2 linked regions of the Drosophila melanogaster genome follow. The protein of the gene in region 1 interacts with the protein of each later gene in a pairwise test. Each region holds a gene or a part of one and is shown in the gene's direction. Other genes may lie near its edges.

Region 1 (11,501 bases):
AGACATCAAAGGGCCATTCAGATTTCTGGAAAGGGAAGAGTTAAACATGGAAACCCGCTTAGTTGTTTTTACCACAAAGGGGCCCTAATTTAGATTCTAGACTTCTTGGTAAGACATAAAGGACATATTCTCTTCGCAATTATAAATACTTTCGTTATAATAACCTGAAACCATCTCAGTCCGAATTCATCTATATAATAATGAACAGTAAATAAAAACTAACCACTTTGTAAGATACCAAAAAAAAAGCGTTCATCAGCGTGAAACCCATTATCGAAACCGTTATGACGAAGTCTTCTTCCCTGGGCTTGTGACTGCGAGCTGCAAATTGGACCGCCGACAAATTTTAAGATCATTTTTGGCTGGCTCAAAATCAACTGGATTGAATATATGGTATTTATACGTGGAATTCTTGAAATGCCCAGAGACATAACTATAATTGCTTGACAAAGTGGTCGCTTTAGGTTTTTGCCTCGCAGTATGTTGCTTTGCTTTTGAGAACCCCAACTTGAACGACATTCCGGGGTCCGGTTCATCAAAAGTATTTCAGCGGAATCCGTTTAATAGCATTTCCAATAAAAAAAAACATGATGCGAGAAATAAACGGTAGAAACGAGAAAGTGGAGGAATCCATCCTCCCAGAAACAAGAGAACTATAATAAAATTCCAAATCGTATAATCGTATATAATCGACCCCTGGGCCAACCCCCTTTGAGTTCCCTTCTTTTGGCCATCCCTTCCGGCGATCAAAGGTCAGGTTAATTATGAATTTGCCAGCTGACTGCCAACTGGAGACGAGAAAGGGAATGCATCCTTTCGGGAGTCAAATGCTCCGCATTCCCGGCAATTAGTTGCATAATTTCGAACGACGGAAAAGGAGACGGGAAAAATAATTGAAATTGTTTATAACTCGATGGCAATCGAAATTGGACGGCAGCGAGACAATGGAAATGAATAATTCCCGAAGGGCTATTAAAAACATGCCGAAGGAGCAACTTCCAAAAGCGGCAACAGCCCCATGATGCCATGATGAATCACAGGAATGAGCAGGCCGTTCGCTTTCAGGGAAAATCAAAATGCACACAATACATTATAAAGCAACTATGGATCGCTTCTGCGAAAGCCGGCGATACCAAGATACTCGTACATTTTAAAATCTTAAACCGAAGCTCCGCAGTGAGACTGCCAGCAACCATAAAAAGGTATTTAGCAATTTAGATTCACTCGACGTGCCGTCCCCATTGCCATCCTCATCTCCATCGCCATTGCCATCCGAAAAACATGTCTGAGGACGATCCTAATGGTGCTCCTGCTGTTGCGCCGTGGATGTTGCTGATGTGCCTGTTGCTGCGGTTGATGTTGCTGCTGTTCCTGGCAGAGTATCGCTAGCCCGATCAGGCTGATTGCAGCTGGAGGGGATCCGATCAGTGATGCCCACTGAGATCTATTAATAACGCTGTGAGTCATGAAGCGAAGTGGAGTTGCGGCTGCATAGAATTTGAAGAAGATACTTGGTAACCAGGCAATAAGTTACTTTCTAAAAGAAGATATATTTAAGAAATGCATATGGGAGCGAATTTTTAAAAAAGTTTTAACGTTAACTACCAGCAGAATAGCTTGCGATACACAGCCATCAAATCACATGCAGTAAGCCTTCGATTAAATTATGTATTATTCAAAAAGTTTGATTTGAACAGTTTTTCGAAGTTTTGGAAATCTTATAACTTGACCACATTAATCCAGTAGACAAAAGTTTGCAACAGTTTGAAGTGCAGTCTAAAATCCCGCTTGTTTAGCGGTAAAGCGGTCGAGCGGGCAACGCTGAACGGACTGAGGTGCATGCTTCAAAGGGGGATACAAGGACCGCTGGCTGAAAAAAAAATGAATTGCTTAGCGCTTGCCCAAAATGGTCCATGGCATAAATTCCGAATGGGAAACGCATCAATCAACGGACAGGCTCTTGCACCGAGGAGCTGGTGAACTGGTAAGCTGGTGAGCCGGGTATCCAGCGTTCGTGATGATATTGCCGTGGAGATTAGACGGCGACAGCACAGCAACTTCGGCAATGGCAGCCAAAATTAAATAAGAAGAGATAACAACTAGGCACGGCCCGAGAATTCGAGAGTACGAGAGTACGTGGAACCACAAACAGAAAAGAACAGAACAGGATGGTCGTAGGAGGAGGGGAGGGCGGGAGGCATGAGATCCGGGCCCAGAACAAATAGTCATCGTTGTCATGCCCAAGCGGATTAGCCTACCTCGCCGGGCTGCGCCGTGCCTCCTGGCCTGCCTCGTCGGCAGCGTCGTCTTACCTGCGAAACTGGACGTGGAACAGCAACTGCCGCTCCCCTGAGCCGGCTAAAAATTTACGATTTTAGCACAGATTGTAAAGTAAATTTTCCTGTTTTTATTTCGAATTAACAAGCGGACCAGACAAACAGACAGCCAACTGCAGCGGAAGGAGCAAGAGGGACACACTGAAATGGGCTGCCTAATCGCTCCGCTCGATCAAGAGATACCCTACACACAGATGCCTCAAAAAGGTTCATCCATGGGTCTTAGAAAGGATTTTGTCAAATACCTAATAGCACGTTATAAATATTTCAATTTCCATGCGCGTTTCTGTCGATGTACAGCATTTGTTTTTTTTAACGTTTGCATCATAGTGACATATATATATATAAACAGCATAGATTTGGCCTGTAAGTGCACCTAAACTAGGATTTCAATGAGATATTCATATATATTTATGATTTATTTAGGTCCGGTTGAAAACCAAACCGAAGAACTGTTCGGCAAAGTGTAATTTGTAGAGTGGCGTATACCCCTAACCCCCAGCGAGTAGCGGGTATAAAAAACGAAAGTTTCGTGCAGACGTCGGGGAATAGAAGCGACGAAACACAGAACACAGTCTTCTTGGGAAGAAGCCATGCAGCGCAACCGGTCGCAGTCGGGATCAGTTGCCGGCCTAGCGGTTACTTAATAATGCAAACAGGTTTCACCGTACAGGCCGACTGGGCCGGGGAGAACGGATCGGGAGGACCGTGACTTGGACTTCTGCAGGAGAAAGGCAGTTGAGTTATGGATTCGATATGCCACAAGGGAAGAAAAGGAGGCAATCCGGGCAGCAGGGCGATGCAGCAGGCAAATATAAAAGGAGACGATGACAGAGATTAGAGAAACAGGAAATGTGGGTTGGACCGATTTAATGAGTGAATGCCAGATCCCAAAACAGACGGTCAAAAAAATGTCCTGGGGACAAACAAGAATGCTGAATGTTATCATAGAGCTGCCCTAAAATAATACAAATTATACATTTCACTGCTTCCGAGTTCGATAGTCGATCGTAGCCCCGATACAAAGAAACTCATTTTGTCCATGGCTTGCAGTAAGAGACTGCGAAAACTATGATAACTATAACCTGATCCTATCAAGTAGAATCTACTTGCAACTTACTTGAACTTATACCTGCAAGATGCACGTTCAGTGCAATACAGCGGAAATAAATAGTATTTTGACCAGTTATGAAAACACAAAGGGCGCATTTTATTGCATTCAGCCAACCCCACATGAGTAAACCATTATCTGTCTGGAATTTCTAATTTCGAAGTTTTCTATACCACTTCAGGCATTGTCGTCGTCTTGGCAGTTGTCGTTTTGTCTGTTGCCCCTCTTGACCAATTTCCTGCTGCCCGTTTTTGTTCGTTCTGGCCGTTCGCTTGGGTTGGGGTTGAGCCATAGGCTCTCCAGCAGAGCGACTGGCCCGCTAATTCAAGCAGTTCGGTAATTTCCAAATTGGCGGCCCGTAATCAAACTGTAATGCGGCCGACTCGTCATTAAGCACGCAAGCAGCAACATCACGGCAGCAACATCAATCCAGAAAGCAACCAAAGGCAGAAAAAAGCTGCAAAAAAACAGCACAGCAGAGCAGAAATAAGCACACAAAGGGACGCACGAGTGCAAAGCTGGCAGCTACATCAGATCCAAAACCCATACAAATAATACGGCGGAAGCACCAATAAAGAAAAGGCTTAAAAGCAGCAGCGACAGCACCATAAAAGTCGGCATAAAGCTACAACACTATAGTGTCGATATTAACCCAAACCAGACTCCAAAAACCATCCACAATCCCAGATGCAATGAAGACAATTCATTAACAAAACCATGGCAACAACAGTAGAAAAGCAGGAAATCATTAAGGCTATCAAACAATAGTATCCATTAACTTGTATACATGCACCAATCATGTTCTTTCTTAAGAGTCTTAGAATAATTAGCACATAATACGAATTATTAGTTTTTAGTAGACAATAAGAAGCATTAGTTTTACTTTTTGGATTAAAAGACATGCTTCAATGCAAATCCGCCACATAGGTTTTCATTTTACTTGCACATCGAATAGCAACAACACTGAAATGCAATGGCAACTTGACAGCAACAACTTTCAGCCCCACAACAACAACAGCTGCAACAGCGATTCCAACAAACATATGCTTTGAGAAAAAAAAAAACAAATATGTACCAAGAGAGACAGCCAGACTCACCAACACACTCGCACGCGGACACACCTCCCCAAATAACAAAACAGCTGATTTGTTATCAGCAGTTGCTGAATGAGCCCCACAGAGCGAGCCACTCTCTTGCAGCAACAACAAAATGGGGGGAAAAAAACGACGCCAACGGCGGCTGCTATGGCAACGACCTTCCTTATTTATTACAATGTGTGTAATTCCCAGCCGTTTTCTCACTCTCTCTCGCTCTCTCGCTGTGTGTGTGCGAGCGAGACAGTGCCCTTTCCTGACTTAAATTGCCCATTTTTTAGTACAGAAATGTTTAATATCGCTGTCTGTTTGAGTTTTTGCAATTTGTTTTCCTTTTTTGGTCTGCAGAAAGTCTCTCAGTGCGCAGTTTAGCTTTCGTATTCCAAAACCGGAGAGGTTCTTGGGGTATTTGTTGTATTCTTATATTAAGGAACTACGTAGGTGTGTTCGAAGTTGCGTCGCAGAGGATTTTTAGGCAGTTGTGTGGAGATCACACTGCTTATGTTGATATTATATGGGTTTTAAGTTTTAGGGGTGTACCAAAGTGCTCAGAAATACATAAGTAAAAATAACCCATTCCCATTTTAACCAGGTGATGCTGATAGATTCATTCAACTCCCCGTTTTTAGTGCGGCTCAATTAGCTCTCAACTCGCCGTTAACCCCTTTAGAACCCATCTGCTTTTACGACCCCATAAAGCTGCTCCCAAAAATGCGTTTGCCGTAAAAAATTAAAGCACTAAAACGGTTAAAGACATCGTATTACAAAATAATGTGCGCTCTCTCGCTCTTTTCTCGCCTCTTTGTCTCTCTCTGTCTCGACCAAAGCAGTTGTAAAGATGGCCGCCGTGTAGTAACATGGCTGAATGTATACCACACACACACACGCAGGCACAGAGAGAGCGGTCACAGAGAGGGAGAGAGAGCGGCCATTGAATGCAATTTATATAGGAAAGCAACAATAACAATAACTCTGCGCTCGTCTCCTGCGACTGTGTGTGTGCTGAATACGTCACGGAACATCAGCTGTGCCGAACAGCAGGTAGGCGTCGGCAGAATGGAGCGAAGACGACGTTTCGAGTCAGTCGCTTCAAAGAGCTCGATTCGTGCGGACATAGGAGGAGATAAAGCGTGGTCTGTGGCACGTAATTAACGAAGAAGAGAGTTAAGAAGATTCAACGTCGCGTCGAAGGTGAACACGCAGTTAAAACCCAAAAACAAACGCAACGCAGCCAATTGTGATACGAAAAATAAGTAAATCGGCAGACAATCAACAAAAACAATAAAAGCAAAGCCTACACACAGGCGTAGGCGTCTAGCCAACAGCTGTTTTTCGTGCGCGCTCCGTATTCAGCATACTCGCTGCGCTTACAAACGTCGGCAGAGACCGCGGCAGAGAAGCAAGCGGCGGCAGCAAAACTACAAAGCAGAAACTACAATTCAGATCGCGTTTTTCTTCGGAGTGGATGAGACGTTCGTTCGGCAGTTCTATTGCGCATAGAACTAACAAGTTACCTACTCCGCGAACTCACCCCCGCGAGAAAAGAACAGAACAGAGCATAACCGAATGGAAAGAAGACAAGGAGTAGCTAAAAAGCAACGGTTAAGTTAGCCAGCAAAAACGGGCAAAAAGACTGAAAACACACGTGGATTGTTCACTCACCCCGACACGCGCACCCACTCGCACTCACACTCACCCAGCAGCTCCAACTGTTCGCTGCATTTATGTAAAACCAAACAAAGACTGACTAAAACGCTAATAAATATACAATAAACGTAACGAAACAAAGTTAAACACGCGAACAGCAGCTAATATTATACGGGTTAAAGCGAATTCCAAAGCAAAGCAAACACACATATGGATTAAGGTTCCTCCTATCTCAAAACACAAAAACAAAAGCAACAACCAACTCACGGATTACCTGCAGCGGCAAATTTACCGTTAGCCGCTCTTTTTGGATTACCAGTGCCAATAAAACCACAAAAGTGAATTTTTTCGAAAGTGAAGAAAGCGAAAAACATCCGCAAAATGATAAAAATCTAAATCTAAGTAAATAAGCAAACCAAAAGCGAATTCTGTGTTACCGAAACGAGAGCAAAAGCTAAAAGATCCCCTGAATACAGCAATGACGATGGCCGCCTGTTATGCCAACTACGACATGTCGTCCCTGTCGCACGGCATGTCGGCCCTGTCCGCCCTGCAGCAGCAACAGCAGCAGCAACAGCAGCAGCACAGCCAGACGCAGCAGCAGCATCATCACCAGCAGCAGCAGCAACACATGTACCACGCCGCCGTGGCTGCCCACCAGCAGCAGTTGCTGCAACAGCAGCAGCAGCAGCAACACCACCGCCATCACCACCAGCCCGCCAACACCAGCAGCAGCAGCAACTCGCGCCACAGCCATGCGGCGGCGACCCAAACGCAGGTCGCCGCCGCGGTTGCCAACAGCAGACAACAACAACAACAGCAACAACAGCAGCAACAGCAGCAGCAGCAGCAGCAGACTGCCAGCAGCAACAGCAACGCAGCCCCCGCTCCATCGCCGCAGAAGGACTACAGCATCCCGCTGCACGTGGACTGCAGCGTGGAGTACGAGCTGCCCAACCAGCCCAAGCCGCCGGCGGGCCAGAGAGTGGAGCCCCTGCTGATGATCCACCCGTGCTACTTCCGCAAGATGGAGTCGCAGCGGCGCAGCCCGTTCGTGAACAACATGCATGCGACCGCGCGGGCGGTGAGCAGCAGCTCGCTGAGCAGCGGAGCGGCCCTGGGCGGAGGCGGAAGCGGTGCGGCGGTGGCCACGGCGCCCAGCAGTAGTGCCGCGCGGCGTGGAGCCCGGGCGGCTACGAGCGCCCAGCAGCAGCAACAACAGCAGCAACGCTACCAACAGCAACAGCAGCAACTGCGGCAACAGCACCAGCAGATGTCGCAGATGTCGCAGCAGGCCCACTATCCCCAGCAACAGTCTAGTCTGGTCCGCCAGCACCAGCAGCAGCAACAGCAGCAGCAGCAGCAGCAACGTGCCAGCAGCAACCAAAGCCAACGCCAAAGCCAAAGTCAGAGCCAGAGCCAGAGCCATGCAGCCAACTCAGCGGCGGCAGCTGCGGCCCAGGCCTCGATAGCCGCCGCAGCCGCCGGCCAGTGGGATCAACTGGCTGCGCTGGCCGCCCGCACCGCCCTCACGCCGCACCACATGCTGCATCCCCACAGCCACTACGCGGCCAAGGGTAGTGGCGGCGGAGCAGGGGGCGGGAAGCGGGACGCCATGATCTCCGGCAGCTACGGACAGACGGCGGTCGCCTCGGGGAAGCTGCAACAGTCGCAGGTGCAGCAGCAGCAGCCACAGCAGCAACAGCAACACTGCCTGCCTCCGCCGCCGTGGGACGCGACGTCCATGCTGATGGACCGCTCGCCGATGGCCACAGTTCCTAGCAATTATCAGGCCGGCCCTGACACCAATCCCATGCGCCTCTACTCGGCCACGCCCACCGCCGGAGCGGCCTCGGGCGGGTCGGCGTCGGTGGGCGGAGGCGGGGCGGTGAGTGGTGCGGGGGCGACGGGAGCAGTGAACACGGCCACCGACAAGTTGAGCGGAAAGTACCGCCAGTACTTGCGGTCCCAGCGGATGCACCCGTACGCGGCGGCCGCCTCGCTCAACTTGGCAGCCGCCGCCGCTGCCGCCGGCCAGACCTCGTTTGTGCCGTTCAGTTCGGCGGCCACGGCGGTGGCGGCCACGCCCACATTCCAGCACCTGCCGCAGATCTCCTGCTACAACGTGTGATGCAGCACCAGCAGCAACCAGGACAACGGCAACATCAGCAGCAGCAACAGCAACTTGCAACACATGAGACAGGCGCCTACCAAGTACGCGTCGATGAAATAGCCGCCTCAAGGAATAATTAATAGATCCTCCCCTAAAACAGTACTATATATACACACCCATCAAAGCTTTTAGAATCAAAAGTAATTAACTCTAAAAATATTAAGAGATGAAACAAAATTCTGTCTAGCTGCTATGAGAAATTGTTGTCCGACGGTGAGAAAAGAGGAAATGAGCGATCTTTTTTTCTTTTAGTAATGGTAGTAATTGATAAACGATACAAAAACAAACAACAACAAAAAAAAAAAATGCAAACTATTGTAGTGATATTTGTTATAAAATAATTTTAGTAATTAATTTAATTTAAATTAAACAACCAACAAGAAACAACAGCAACCGCTCTGTGTAAGCCAACCACATAAACAATAACAACTGCAACAACGGCAAAAACAAGAACTGCAACAACAACAACAACGGCAGCAACATTAAACAAAACAATTGCTAAAAGTTACACATACGCATATTTAATTACAAATCAGCAAAATGTTACAACAACCATTTACCGAAAGAATACGAAAATATGAAAGGAAAATTATTACCAAACGATGGAGAGAGAAGAGTAAAGCAGAAAAAAGCAACACAAAAAATACGAATAAAAATTATTCAAAATTATGCAACGTAATTTGAAGCGAGATATGCAAAAATTAAGTAAATTGTGTTTTCAATTAACGTAGCGAGCAAGAAAAGCATAGTTCAAGTGATTTGGCCGCGGCAAGGAAAACTCCCCTTGCCGTCGGCTTTTGTGGCCAACTTTTCACACTTCCCACCACCACCGACCGACTAACTCCTCTTTCTGTTCGCCTTGATTCGATTTTCATCTTCGCTCCCTTTGTTTCCTCATTCTGCTCCGCCTCATGGCCTCCTCCTCTGCGGTGAGCCGTGATTGATTATTGTCATTGATGGAGGACCGGGCAGCGGGTTGGGGTGACCTCGGCGCACAGCACAGGGGTCCCTCGCTAATGGCAAACCGTTGAGCTGAGACGAATTTCGAAAACTTACAGGGCTCCGATTTATGGCTAGACATGAGGACGTCTCTTGAAATTTCACTATTAATATCTTATACTTAGATACTTATATACTATTTAATGTATTTGAGCCAGCTGTTGAAGGACTAAATCTGGCAACACACTACGATATCGAGAGATGTTGATTTCCACTCTATGTACATATATGTGTTCCACGACGTCGGTTATTTCGCTTTTACGCCTTTGTTTTCGATTAGAAGTTTAAATACGTTCTTGTTCACGCCACCAGCGGCCTCACTGTACTTACCTTTCAAAGACCAGCATTCTCGAAGTTCATTCGTTACAGTGATATAACCGAACTGCCTTTGCCTTCAGTGCTTACGGCTCTAATTTTGGTCTTTGTTGCGAGGTGAAAACGCAGCAAAATCTAATGGTTTCGAGTGGCCAGGAAACGCGAGATGTTATCAGCTGAAATTGTTTTTGCTCGCCCCCAAGGTCCCTCGGGAAAGTGTGTGCTTTCATTACTGATTGCATGTCGAGGCGATTGGCGCGGTTCCATGGGAGTTGCTGGGTTCCGGAAAGCAAATAGCTGAGTAATTTATGCATGGGCAGGAAAACCCGCTGAGGATTCAGCGCGCCATTAAGCCAATCGTCGAATTAATTAAGCCAAAAAAGAGTTTTCAACTGAAATGAACGACATCCGCTGCCGGGGGACCGGCACTGACTCATCTGTCCGCTTTAGGCTGCCCTACATCCAAACAAGTCCGACTCTACTCCACGACCATGCGGTCGCAATCCACTCGAGATTCAAGAAAGAAAAGACTTTAGTCCAATTGCAGAACGACGGAACCATTGCAGGAATTTGTGGGACCAGTTTAGACGCATCGGTTAGTCGAAGAAATGGCCAGACCACATATTAATCCATAACTTATTCAACATACAAGTCATTTCATTAGGAAAAACATTATTTAGGGGAGCTTGACTTTTATTCATCTGCTGTGAATTGCATTTAACACATAAATGAATCTGATTTAGAGCACATTTGTATTTCTCCATCCTTCGTGGAAGCCCATTCAACAGCATCTGTTGCAAGAAACCTTAGAAATCACTCTCCACTGGGCACTTTCCATATATAGTAGTCCCGCTTGCACGCCCAATCTAAACAAGCCACTGCTTCCTGAATGGTGCCGCACTCTCCGCGGGATTCATCTATTCACTTATTCAATTCATATTAAATTGGTCGTAGATTAGAGACGGAAAAATATTTCAATTGCCGCCGGCGGCATTCACACAAGTGTAATTAAAATATACTGGAGATCGGATCCAGCTCCAGCTGAAAGCGTCGGTTGTTTGTTTTCATTTCGTTTGAGCAATCAACTATCAGCTGCTGGGGCCATTTGCATGCGGCTGGGTGAGTGATGGCCCCTGTAACCCACCGCCCCACCGCCCCAATTCGAATGCGAGGTCATCGCCATTGTCGTCACTCATCCGCCCCGTTGCCGCGTTAGGCAGGTGCCGCTCAGCTCGGATCGTCTCGTCTCGTCTGGGATTACTAAGCTGCACTTTGGATTCACACTCGTATCTGATGTGATTACTGTTCCATGTGTGGGCATCGCAGATAATGGCCAGTCCCTCGAGTTCCAAACTAGAGTGCTTTCGTTACTCGACAAATTTCCCCATGTCTGAAAATGAGCTCAGTGATCAAGTGGTTACTTCGAGGGCTGTTAGTTTTGTGGTTTTTTTTTTTTTTTTTTTTTTTTGTGGATTATCTTACTGCAGGGATTGTGGTACCCGCCTAGATTCCCCAGTTAGTTTTTCAACAAATTCGGACTACGTCCAAGACAATGTAGCAAATGGGTACAATTTGAGATTGGAATAATAGGAGCATACTTAATTGCCATTGCATAATATAATTACGAAGGAACACTTTAACTCGCAAATGGATGGTTATAGTCGGGAGCCTCGATTTCCCTATCAGCAATTCCCACATACAGATTTAATTAGAGCTTAAAAAACAATTCGAATGAATACCACTTAAGAGTTAGCAGGTGACTCAATTGACTCGGCGCTGTGAAACGCGAGTTCCATGTCCATATTCGATTAGCCGCTTAGTCCGAC
Region 2 (3,600 bases), on another chromosome or scaffold:
TGATTGACAGATATTTTATTTAGAGTAAGGCAATCTTCGTGGGAAAAGTCCAATCCACTGCCCCTACTAAACCCAAAAGCTTTATCACAATCTCTCAACTGATGTTCTATTTATATATTCTTTCTTTCTATTGCCAAAACTATTTACCTAAAACCAAAAAAAAAAAAAAACATGAAAACTAAATGAAAACTTTTGCACAAAACACACAAACAATCCGAATGCTATGCAACGTCAAATCAACGTGGTGTCTCGTTGCCCAAAAATTGCCCATTTGCATTTTCGCTGTTACTCACTGCCAACTGCTGGGCGCCGAAAAACTTGACCGCCTTGGCACTCGAAACTGGCGCCCAACGTATGCCGGCCATTTACTTCTGCAGGGAGGGCTGCAATGGGAATTGCAAGAACCTGAACTGCAGTCGCCATAGCCACGGACGCGATGACCAGCAGCAGGACAACAACAACTCCAATAGGAGTTGCAGCCTGCAGGAGGCGTCGCCTGGGGGAGCAGGTGCAGGTGTCACACCAGGCGCTGACAACCAGGACAGCATAGAGAGTCGCACCAAGGGCGTTTCCCAGGCGCCGCAGACCCACAGTGGCCCAACGGGTCCACCATCCAACACCTCGAGCGAAACTATCGCACAACCTGCCCCTAAGCTTCAACCCGCCCTGGAAACCGTAAGGGAATCGGTGATGGAAGAAAGTCCTTCGAAGGATCCCGGCGACAAGGGACCACCGCCGCCCGCCAGCACATCCACATTGACATCCCAAACCACCACCTCCTCCAGCGCAACCGCGGAGCCAAGTGCCAAGGCGGCCGAGAGTCAAGCGGGAAGTGCCGGCAGCAGTGGCAGTTGCAGTAACCCAGCGGCGGTGCATCGGCAACGCCGCCTAAGGACACCCACCTGGGCCAGGTCCATGTCGACGAACAAAACGTACTTGAAATTTGATTTCTATGCTAGACTAACGTTTATCCGTTACGCCTCTTCAGTTCGTTCGATTTGCCTTTATCGTTTCACGTTTGCGTTAACCAACCAACAACCACACAGCTCCAGAATGAACTACTTTCTATATATACACACATAACTCTATGAACTCTGTCTCTCTATCTCTCCTTTATCCAATCTATCCATCTGTCTGCTGACCTCTGTCTGCGATTTCCACTGCTGTAATCTTCTGTCTAGCCTCTGTCCCCTACCCCAAATCTTTTGCTCGCTTCTGTTGTAAATAACTATTTTATCCTAGACTAATCAAAAAAAAAAAAAGAAAAAAGGACACTTGTTTCGTTCCCCAGCCGCGCTCAGCGGGATTGTAAATGTTTCGTTGCCGCGTTTGGACAAAAAATTGCTTACTACGTTTAAATACTCCGTGCAACTATTAAATCAAACTTACATTCATACGTAGTAAGCACTTGAAGGAGTGAGAACTGGAAGATATACTTTAAATGTATTCAAAACTGCTTAAAGTATTTGTATGATACATTTGCATTTCTGAGAAACTATATCTTCCACTTTTGACGCCACTCGCAAGCAGCAACTCTCCTAGTCTTGTCGACCAGTGTAATTTTGTGAATACATGTACAAAGTTTGAATACCGCACATGAATCCATGGCATGTTGATTGTCCTACATTTGTTTGTTTTCTATATTAAAAAACTAGCTTGCGCATGTGTTTTGTCGTTTTTGAACTTTTTTTAACTTTCCCGCCTAAGTGTGTTAAATACCGTTTAATGTTTACCAACACTGGCCAGCCGATCGTGACCAGGTGGCCACGCTGCGCAATGGTAAGACCGTACTGCCTGCAATGCCTGGGTATTTTACGCGATCCGTGACTGGGGTCACACCATTGCCGCCAAAAAAAAACATTTTCATTCGCCTCGTTATTTAAACATTTAAAAAAAGCATTATCGAATAGTTCATTGAAGTCGCGGCCTAATTTGGGTTTCATTTAACCGTACAAACGTGCCGCGCGTTCGAAATGAGCAGTGATAAAGTGAAAAACGGCAACGAGCCCGAGGAGTCGGAGGAATCATGCGGCGTGAGTAGCGAATGACAAATGGCTGTGCGAACCGAGAATTAATGGATCTTTTGGGCCATGTGCCGGCTGCAGGATGAGTCGGCCAGCTATACCACCAACAGCACCACCTCGCGCAGCAAGTCCCCGTCATCCAGCACGCGCAGCAAGCGCCGCGGTCGCCGGAGCACCAAATCGAAGCCAAAAAGTCGCGCCGCCTACAAATACGAGTAAGAATATGCACTTTCTCAGCTGGCCACTGATACTGAACCTACAAATGATTACCATGAAGCACCCACGTGAAGGAGAACCACGGAGCCAACATCTTCGGCGTAGCCTTCAACACGCTGCTGGGCAAGGATGAGCCACAGGTCTTCGCTACGGCGGGCAGCAACCGGGTGACCGTCTACGAGTGCCCTCGACAGGGCGGGATGCAGCTGCTCCACTGCTATGCAGATCCGGATGTGAGTCGCCAGGATACAGAATACACTTTCAAGACCCTATTGATCAGTTGGCTAAAGTTAGGGGCTTCATACATTAGACATCGCATTCAAAGCTGTAGAAAAAGTGGGATCCAGTCAAAGTTTCTATTAAATCATTGCTTTTGTTAATTGTTTTAAAGTAAGAACAATCGTTACAGGCTTTCAGCATGGTTTCACAATATCCAAACATTTATCATTTCTTGTATTAAGTTTGGTTTTTCATAACAGTCAAGTTTTCAAATTAAAGCTTATATTGTTAATTTAGCCGAGAGTAACTGAGAATATGGTCGCAAATGTAATTGTACAAACTCGAAATACATCAACAAATCTTGAATTCCCTTCCCAGCCCGATGAAGTATTTTACACCTGCGCCTGGTCGTACGACCTTAAGACCTCTTCACCTCTCCTGGCCGCTGCTGGATACCGCGGAGTCATCCGGGTTATTGATGTCGAGCAGAATGAGGCGGTGGGCAACTACATTGGCCATGGACAGGCCATTAACGAGCTGAAGTTCCATCCGCACAAGCTACAGCTTTTGCTTTCGGGCAGCAAGGATCACGCGATAAGATTGTGGAACATCCAGAGCCATGTGTGCATTGCCATCCTGGGCGGAGTGGAGGGACATCGCGATGAGGTGCTGTCCATCGACTTTAATATGCGTGGAGATCGCATTGTGTCGAGCGGCATGGATCACTCGCTGAAGCTGTGGTGTCTGAATACGCCCGAGTTCCATCACAAGATCGAACTGTCGAACACTTTCAGCCAGGAGAAGTCAACGCTGCCTTTCCCCACGGTGACCAAGCACTTCCCCGATTTTTCAACGCGGGATATACACAGGAACTATGTGGACTGTGTGCAGTGGTTCGGCAACTTTGTGCTCTCCAAGTCCTGCGAAAATGCCATTGTCTGCTGGAAACCGGGACAACTACATCAGAGCTTCGAGCAGGTGAAGCCGAGCGACTCCTCCTGCACGATAATTGCGGAATTCGAGTACGACGAGTGCGAGATCTGGTTCGTGAGATTCGGCTTCAATCCGTGGCAGAAGGTGATTGCCCTGGGCAATCAGCAGGGCAAGGTGTATGTGTGGGAGCTGGATCCCAGCGATCCCG

What was found. Proteins that work in one complex are often made in the same cells at the same time.
Region 2: the proteins of corto (region 1) and esc interact in binary tests that used the Drosophila melanogaster proteins (3 or more experiments, as listed by UniProt).

The regions. Positions count from the first base shown.
Region 1 is NT_033777.3:5,081,191-5,092,691, reverse strand, and holds the start of corto (corto), read left to right. Parts: upstream 1-5,619; 5' UTR 5,620-6,666; coding exon 6,667-8,319; 3' UTR 8,320-11,501. UniProt on the Drosophila melanogaster protein: Essential protein required for proper condensation of mitotic chromosomes and progression through mitosis. Binds to specific polytene chromosome sites, many of which are shared with the posterior sex combs (Psc) protein.
Region 2 is NT_033779.5:11,827,609-11,831,208, reverse strand, and holds the start of esc (extra sexcombs), read left to right. Parts: upstream 1-1,803; 5' UTR 1,804-1,973; coding exon 1,974-2,033; intron 2,034-2,105; coding exon 2,106-2,239; intron 2,240-2,301; coding exon 2,302-2,473; intron 2,474-2,837; coding exon 2,838-3,600. Other genes in the region: Pde1c (phosphodiesterase 1c), read left to right, coding at 378-932. UniProt on the Drosophila melanogaster protein: Polycomb group (PcG) protein.